2 linked regions of the Tribolium castaneum genome follow. The protein of the gene in region 2 interacts with the protein of the main gene of each other region in a pairwise test. Links are inferred from orthologs where the notes say so. Each region holds a gene or a part of one and is shown on either strand. Other genes may lie near its edges.

What was found.
Region 1: the proteins of methyltransferase-like protein 17, mitochondrial (region 2) and splicing factor 3B subunit 4 interact in binary tests that used the Homo sapiens proteins (3 or more experiments, as listed by UniProt). The link is inferred for Tribolium castaneum from reciprocal best matches to the Homo sapiens genes METTL17 and SF3B4.

The regions. Positions count from the first base shown.
Region 1 is NC_087395.1:2,316,482-2,320,877, reverse strand, and holds the start of splicing factor 3B subunit 4, read right to left. Parts: upstream 3,062-4,396; 5' UTR 2,914-3,061; coding exon 2,880-2,913; intron 2,815-2,879; coding exon 2,731-2,814; intron 2,681-2,730; coding exon 2,406-2,680; intron 1-2,405. UniProt on the Homo sapiens protein: Component of the 17S U2 SnRNP complex of the spliceosome, a large ribonucleoprotein complex that removes introns from transcribed pre-mRNAs.
Region 2 is NC_087394.1:11,237,487-11,242,079, forward strand, and holds the start of methyltransferase-like protein 17, mitochondrial, read right to left. Parts: upstream 3,095-4,593; 5' UTR 3,008-3,094; coding exon 2,963-3,007; intron 2,911-2,962; coding exon 2,751-2,910; intron 2,692-2,750; coding exon 2,292-2,691; intron 1-2,291. Other genes in the region: PXo (solute carrier family 53 member 1), read left to right, coding at 3,186-3,254, 3,317-3,470, 3,600-3,850, 3,903-4,164. UniProt on the Homo sapiens protein: Mitochondrial ribosome (mitoribosome) assembly factor. Binds at the interface of the head and body domains of the mitochondrial small ribosomal subunit (mt-SSU), occluding the mRNA channel and preventing compaction of the head domain towards the body.

The sequences.
Region 1 (4,396 bases), on a different chromosome or scaffold from region 2:
GAGAAAAAAGAAAAGAAAGAAAAAGAAATAAGAAATTATCGATATTTTTCTGCCTAGTTAGGTATAGTGGCGGTCAGCTCGATTTGCGTGTGCGTCATCAATTTCATTTTTTCATTACCAACACAAAGCTATAAAAAAATTATCAAAAACAATGCAAATTTAAACAGTTAAGGGCTATCTAAGGGTGGTATCCTTGAACATTGATTTACATGTGCACTTCGACAACACCGTCAAGTGTCACGAATTTGTCAAACTGACATTGACAGTAAATTACAGACGTCGTCGCTTGGTTGTCGAAAATGTTATCGGTGTTAATCACAAGTATTTTCTGTTCGTTTATTGTGTTTTGTGATTTGCGTTTCGTTAGGTTTTTGATTCTGCGTTTATTAGTTCTTGTTTTGTGAATCTGTATTTTTTGTAACAACTCATAATTTAAACACTTCGTAACCTCAAAAAATATTTGATAGTTTGTCACCGCTATGCCCCTGCTATGTAAACGTAGTGACAGAAATGTCAGATGACGCACACGCAAATGGAGCTGAGCGCTACCATATGTCTATAATTATTAAGGCCATGAAGGATGTTACAAAGCAATATTTCATTTCAATATACAATTCCGTTATTTGTCACCGGATTGTTATCAAATTAGAATGCACATATTTTAGGAGGTTGTCTTTCAATTAGGGGCAAAAAATGACCTCAAGTTAAGAAATGAAATTTTAAAACATTTCTTTTGTTTAAAATAAAGCCAAATTACCGTTGGATCATTAAACTCCGAAAAATAAATGACCACACAAAAAATTAACCAAATCGATCGGCTGATCCAAGAAAGAAATTAATTTTGTTGTTAAAAACTTAATCCAAATTTTGATTGTAATTTGGGCAGTCATTTTTTGAAACAATTGGTGAAGCATTTCTATGCGGCATTTTGTGTACCACTGAAAAAAACTGTCAAAAGTTTGCGAGCTATCAGAAAAGTAAAATTGTTTTAATTTGGTGAAATTACTTTAAAAACCAACCAATGGCTGAGATTTCTGTGTTGTTGAAAAAGGAATCAATATTCGCCTATGGAAAGTGTCGTTGGACTTTTTGTGAAATGTTATTTATGAAATTTCAAGTTCAAAGAATCGTCAATAATTTGAAGACACAGGAAGCGTACCTGAACTAAATCGAGTGAGTACAAAACACGTCACTGGAAACGAAGCAATAGTTGGGGCTGTAATTCAAGCTTTTGAAGAGAATCCAATCAGCAGTGTACGAAACATTTCCAAAGTCCTGAATGTTCAAGTGTCTAGAATTTTTCAGTTGTTGTTCAGTCTTTTCGTCCTTTTTGAAAGAATTAAAGCATCCAGTACCAAAAGTAAGTCAAAAATATTGTTTTTTAACTTTGTATGGGTGAGAGATGGTAGTGCTCATTTGTCTCATAGAGATCTACGCTTTTGCATCTGTACCCACGTTTAACAGTTTGTTTCTCATTTTTCTCGCGAAACAGATGTCTTCCACGAACGAGTTTTTTCTGACAGCATTTTTCACTGACGATAAATTTTTTAATATGTCTTAAAAGGCTTAACATTTTAAAAAGGCATGTAAAAATTCGTTTTTAAGACTTGAGTTTTTGCATTAATTGGATTTTAATCTTTATCTTCTAAAATATCTGCATTTTAAATTTCATGAAAATCCGTTGACAAATATCTGAGATATCAGGCTCGAAAGTTTTAGCTGAGACAACGCTTTTATCGATGTTAACTTAGTGTATCTTCGATAAAAAAGTAAATAATGCACAATTGCAATTTTATTATTATACCTTCACTTTAACATGCATTCTTTATTATCATTTATAAAACTATAAATTTTATGTTAACTGGTTTTAAGCAACATTATTTCCCAAATTTTATTTCTTTCTCACTTACGCAAATGTAAAGGAGCGACAGAATACACTGACTTCCGACGTTAAGAATTTTTGTATAGTGGCTTAAATTTTGGTATGCCAATGTCAGTTACAGAATTAGATACAGAGTGGAATTTTTAACAAGTATAAAATCCATTACTTTGATAAGTACATACGATTTTTGTGAAAATTCCGGAAACAAGTCAATTGCAGGCACCTTTAACTTTTTTTTCAAATGTAATGTAAATTTTATAATACCAATTTTTGCATTAACACGTTTGTCACTTAAAACAATGTCCCAAGTTTTCGTTAAAAATCGGTCATAGATGTATCAAACCAAGCCAAAAATTATAGTTAGTTTTGGCCTTTAACAGTGTTTTTGTACTAACAACACAACTTTTTTGAACAATATCACCAAACAAACAATAAAATTAGTCGAAAATGGTATTTTTACACTAAATTATGTTTTTATTTAAAATTTTGTTACAACAGACTGAAATAAGCATCCCTGACCTACCTTAGGTGTTTGAAGTATAACACCAAACGCCGAAAATGTATCATAAAGCAGCTTCTCATCCACTTCGGGGTCCAAATTCCCGATAAAAATATTCGCCCCCACGTCCAAGTTCTTCTGATGGGCTGATGCTTTATTCACTCTTATTGGCTTTCCATAAAGCTTTATCATGTTCATTATTTTTATGGCATAATCAGCATCTTCTTCACCCATGAACTCCACAAAACCATAGCCTTGGTGCATCATTGTTACGCGGTCTTTGGGCATGTGAACGTTGACTAAAATGGACAAAAATTGGTTTGTAAATTATTACAAAAATTATGCTTACCCAAGGGGCCAGATTGGACGAACAGTTCCCATAATAACGATTCTGTAACTTTATCATCTAAACCACCAACGTAAATTGTTGCATCTGCAAAAACACAAAAAACACCGGCACTTATTGGAATTTGTGAGGTTAAGTAATCGAAAACTTACCTCTGTTGCGTTCAGCAATCGGTCCATTAGCCATGATTATGAAATGGATATATCTCAATGTATTAATAGCAAAATTTTACTTCATCGCTTGATAAAAGAATGCTTATTTAATTAAATAAATAAACGAACCAAATACGCAAACCTTAGACGCAAACTTTTCTTTGCTTGTAAGAATCTTTAAAGCCGGCCGCGTTTCACTACTGTCTCGCCTTATTGGTGGAAAGATGGCGCAATAGTGGCAAAACTAGCGCTGTATTTAAAATGCAATTCCAAAAAAAGAAACCATACTATTACCAATTTTTTTGATGATTTAATGTCTTTAAAATGTTATTTTTGACCCTAACTATAAACTAAACAAGTTTCTAAAATTCAATAAGTAAGATAAATTATTTTTGAATCTGTTTCCGAGGAAATAATTCCCAGTGTTGGCAGATCTACAAATTGTGATTCTTCTGATGAAATCACATTCAAAAAACTGCTGTTTGATAGTAAATTTAAAAATAATTATTCGTTTTATTAGGAAACGATTATTTAGTGTAAAACATAAAAATCATTAAAAATAATGAAAACTGAAGAAGTTAACAAAATAAGTTTGTAGCTCCAGATTTTTTTAAATACGACTTAAGGAATTTTTTCAATTTTTTTTCCGGAATGTACACATGCTTCTTAACAAAGTACCACCAAGTTGGTGCGCAAATTTTTGAGCACTCTGTATAAACAATTCTTGAAAAGAATCAAAATGAATAAACAATAAATTAAGCAAAATTAAAATGGCATACTTATCGATGTTTAAACTGGAAGGTACAAATCCAAAAAAAAAACCCTGAATATTTCGTAAACGATTAAATATAGGGAAAGCTTATATAAACTATCTTAAAATAACTCCAGTAATGCAAAAACGCATTAAAAAATATATTTGGTTCACTTTCATAAAAACCATTGTGGTGGAAATTTGGTACTCTTGGCATTAACTTTTATATGAGTTGTCATGGTAACAGGTTAGTCAATTCCACCACAATGGTTTTTATGAAAGTGAACCGAAAATAGTCGATTTTTTTTATAATCAACTGTCTAAGAGCTGTCAGGTTGCCATTATCATAAATAGCAATTTTTTTGAATTAAGGTTGGTGTAATTTTTTACCTGGAAAATTCATTTGCCAAATTTTTCAAGTTCTCTCTAATTTAAAACACGTACAACAACACATTTAGTTATTTTAGACCACCTTTACACTAACGAATTAACGACTAACACTAACGTCCAATTTTCAAAAAATTTCAAATCTGGTGTTCAAAATGTCAAATACAGAATACAGCCAGTTTCAAAAGTGGTTGGACATGAACTTTTAGGGTGATACAGTCTGGTCTTTATTAGAATTTTGACACTGACAGTTGATTGTTTAAAAAAATGAACTATAGCTTTGGATTTAATATAAGGAAGTTAACAGTGACTTCCGGTATAACCATCTTGAAAATATTTTCATTGAGCAGGACTTTAATGATTATGGTCCTATACAAAT
Region 2 (4,593 bases):
TTTATTTTTGTAATTCTACATTTTGAGATTTTTGCGACCAAAATTTTGTATAATATTTTTAATAGGTTGGTATATGAAGCCGTTTTTTGTTAATAATTAAACAAAAATTTGTTAAAAAAAAATCATTATATTTTTTATATCTTCGTTATTTAATATTTTTATATTTTATTTTTTTGTACTTACCAGAAATATTAAAGACTGTACAATCAAGAGCACTAAAATTAAAATTAAAACCAATAACGTTATAAAATGGAGCATTTTATTTTTTATTTTTTAAATTTGACCGCTAACAAAGATAAAAAAATTATGCGTTATTTTAAACTTTAAATAGAAAGATTAATATTTCAGAGAAATCTTTTACAAAAACTATTTCAGTGAATAAATGAATTAAAATTAAAAAAAAACTCAGAAACATCAGTGACTTGCTGCAATTTTGTGTATTTATCCAGAACTATTTGTAAACTTGCAAAAGTCTAGCAAACTTTTTATCTTTAAGTTTTTTCAAATCGTAGTAAAGAATTCTAAAAACTTTAATTGTAGTTATACAAGACTGACATATACAAAATTACAAGTATAATAAAAAAAAGTTTTAGGATAACTAAAAAAAATGTATTAAAAATTCCTGCTTTATGTTATAACAAAGAATTATTGTTTTAATATTTTTTCTCAGTAATTAATTAGTATAACAGAATTAATACTTTTTTTATAAAAGAGTGTAGGATCTCAGGTGCTTCTGGAATTTGAATTTGCCGCATTTAATTATTTTATTTCTATAAAATTTCTGAAAAGTACCAATTTTTATTTACCAGCAAAACCAAATTTTTCATATACTAACATTGTTCTTTTTTTTTGGAAAAATCAGCATTTTTAAATAAACTCTAAAACTTGATTACAATTATATAATTGTAACCAAGTTTTTGAGTTTATTTATTTATTACGTTACAGAATGTTGGTACTAGAGTTCCTATATTGGGAGAGTTGGGACACTGAATGTCAATTTTCGAAATTTTGTTTCATTTACGTCGGTTGGAATGTGTAAAAAAACAAATTGGGATAGAAATCAGTGGTGTTACACTTGAAATTTGACGAAAAGTCAAATAAATTTGTCAAAAAATGTCTCCATTTTTCGTCGACTAACTGCGTTTAGAAATGGTTTAGACTGGCAGTCGTCGTCAATTCACTGCTTTTTTTATATGAACTCCAAATTTTAAAAGAGATTTCTTTGCAAGTACAAGAATTTTACGTCTAAACTCTTCATCATAAACATTTTTCCTTAACTTTAAGAAACGGTAATCATCAATGAAAGAGAGACAAATTGAACCTTTCGTGACGAGTTTTACGTTTATTATTAACAAGCATTTGGAAAAGGGGATTGTCTAAATAATGTTATGTACAAAATCTATGAGATTTTGGGAATTTGTCTATGCATTTATAAAATATGTAGGTACTTGAACCCAAAATTGGTCCTAATTTTTAGAAAAGTTGAACCTGTCGCTGCTTGGCCGCCTTTAGCATCTACGTGAAAGTTATTGGGAATTCACGATTTTGTTACGTTTTTCATACGAGAACACCTTCAATATCATTTTTTAGAAAATTTAAAAAGACGACAGAAAATATGAAGGGTTCTTGATGACCAATTTTTGGGACGAGATGTTTAACTAAAAATTGTGACTGAAAGAAAAGCATTTTTAGCACTGAAGTATGTTTTAAGTTATGTATTTAATAATAAAATAAATATCAAAAAATTTCAGAAATGTGAACATTAATATTAGTAGGTATTCAATTATTTTCTTTTTTAAATAGTAATCCCAAAATTTCTACGTTTTCTACGTCCCTGGTTAAATTTGACGTAAAATTATGTCATTTTATGCATTTGACAAAAATTATAACCTTGAAATTAATTTCGACATAAACCTCTGACATAAGTTACTAACAAAAATTTTAATAAAAAAGGATAGAAATATATACCTTATCCACATAATACAAAATTGGCTCGGTTTGACGTTCAGTGTCCCAACTCTCCCAATAAAGAAACTCTAGTTGGTACAATTTTGGGTAATTAGTGATTAGTTATTACCCAAAACTATTTGTAAACTACAATAACATTAATATTAATAATGAATTGTGAAAATGTTAGATAAAAATTACGAGCGTAATTTTAAGCGTTTATGAGAACGTTAAAAAATGTGTTAAAAATGCATCCTTACTTTATTACAAACGATATTACTTTAATTTAGAAAAATGTTTTTTAAGTATGTGATAATTTTAACAAAGCTGCGTATTGTACTCACCACGTGACTGTCCCAACTCCAGACCCAAAATCAAACAAACTCCTAGGCTCAAACCCTGGATCCCTTTCAGCAATTTCCAGAAATATTCGTGCCAGGACGGAAAACTCTGGAGCTGATCTGGACATCAAATAAACCAAAGCTTCATATGGAGTATAATGTACAGGTTTCCAGTTGTAAAATCCTGATTTCAAAACATTCCGAACTTTATTATCCACCACTTGCTGGAATCTGATTTTGTCTTCTTCACTTTCCAGTGGAGGAATTTTCTGTTTTTCCATCACTTTCTGGTACACTATGCGTTCGATTTTCCTCATTTCGTCCTTCTCTACGGGGGGTTTCTTGGATTTTAAATGGTTAATTAACGTTTTACCATCTTCTATTAATGCTTTTATTGGATAATCTAAAGAATAAACATTGTACTAAATCCAGGGAGTTTAAGGTGTTTAAGGTTATGTCTACCTGCGATTACAGTAGTAACAGCCTTTATAAACGCTTCTGGGACAGGAATCAAGCGTGGTTTAAACAGACCTGGGTGGTTTTTGGGGGTATACACATTTTTTTCAATTTTATTTAGAACGCTTTCGTCCGGTATAACCTGAGTTTTTATCTTCGTTGAATACTGGAAAATTATAAAAACTATGACGGGAATAATTCCATTAATGATAACAAACCGTTCTGACTAAATAATTAATAATACGTTTTCGATAAAAACCCATGCTTGGGATTTTTCAAACTCGATTTTTGGAGGTTATGTTTACGACAAGTCGGTATAGTAGTAATCTTTACGTCATGTTAGACGTCAGGCGTCGCGACGTCACTGTGATTTTTGACCAGTTATCAAAAATGTCAGTTTCACAACAATAAACAACTAAATGGGTTAATCGAATTCTAATAATGAAATTTACTGAACATCTCTGTGCTCATATAACTCCAGAATGGAGGAAACAATACATAAATTACGAGGTAAGTTTGATAAAAAATTAATTGCCTTTGGGGTAGTTCATTAAACAAATCAAAATTTGTAGGAGATGAAGGCAATGTTGTACGCTGCTGTGGAACAAGCCCCGTCTGCGGAATTGGTTGAGCCTGAAATTTTGACCCGATATTTTGCAAAATTCGACGAACAGTTTTTCTCCTACTGTGATAAGGAACTGACAAAGATCAATACATTTTATTCTGGTAAAAGCGCCAAAAGGCATTTTCGTTTTAAAAGAAATAGTAGTGCCAACGCTTTCTGATTTTTTTGCGAGCTAAAGTAGCGCCTGTTTGGTTTTTTATTTTAATTCAATTTTTCTGACACAATTTTAGAAAAATTGGCCGAAGCGACCCGCAAATACGCTGGTCTGAAAAGTGATCTCACTGAAGCTCAGGATGTTGAATATCCACGCAAGAAAAATTCTATAAAAAATAATATTCTAAGAAAGAAAAACGTACCTGCGAAAAAAATACAAGAGTTGAAGTTAGCATTTAGCGAATTTTATTTAAGTCTAATACTGTTGCAAAATTACCAGAATTTAAATTTTACTGGGTTTCGGAAAATCCTGAAAAAGCATGATAAAGTAGGTGACGTGACGGAAGTTGGAAGTTTATCTTGGTAATTTTACGTTGCAGTTGTTAAATGTAGATGTAGGGGCGAAATGGCGAGCGGAACATGTGGAAAATTCGCATTTTCATACGAATAAAGACATCGACCGATTAATTCGAGAGACTGAGTGTACGGTTACTCAGGAGCTTGAAGGGGGCGACCGGCAAAGGGCTATGAAAAGGCTCAGGGTTCCGCCCTTGGGGGAACAGCAAATTCCGTGGACGACGTTTAAAGTGGGGCTGTTTTCGGGGTCTTTTGTGGTGCTCATGATCGCGGTGATTATATCGGGTATTTTGAATTTGATTTAAGGGGCTGCTGGAATTTGTTGCCAACAAAATAACTACATTTTTCTACATTTAATTATTATTTTGCTAAAAAACTGTACATTTTAGAAAAAATGACAAGAGAAAAAAATTCTAAGTTGAGTGGGTTTTCAAATTCTAGTAAGTTATGAAACAGTGTCAACGGGCCCTTCATAGCACCTCTTGACAATAGCAGTGTTCTACACTCTTACAATTTCCACTGTTTTAGATGGTTATTTTAAAAAAACGACTGGATGTTAAATTTTATAAAGAGTGGGTTTTTAAACAAAAACGTTTTAATAAAAATATAAAAGATCAGTTTACTTGGTCGAAATATTTGCATTTCTTCACTAGACAACCTGTGTTTTCCTATCTTCCAAAATAAGTTTCCAAAAAAATTAAATTATTCATTTAC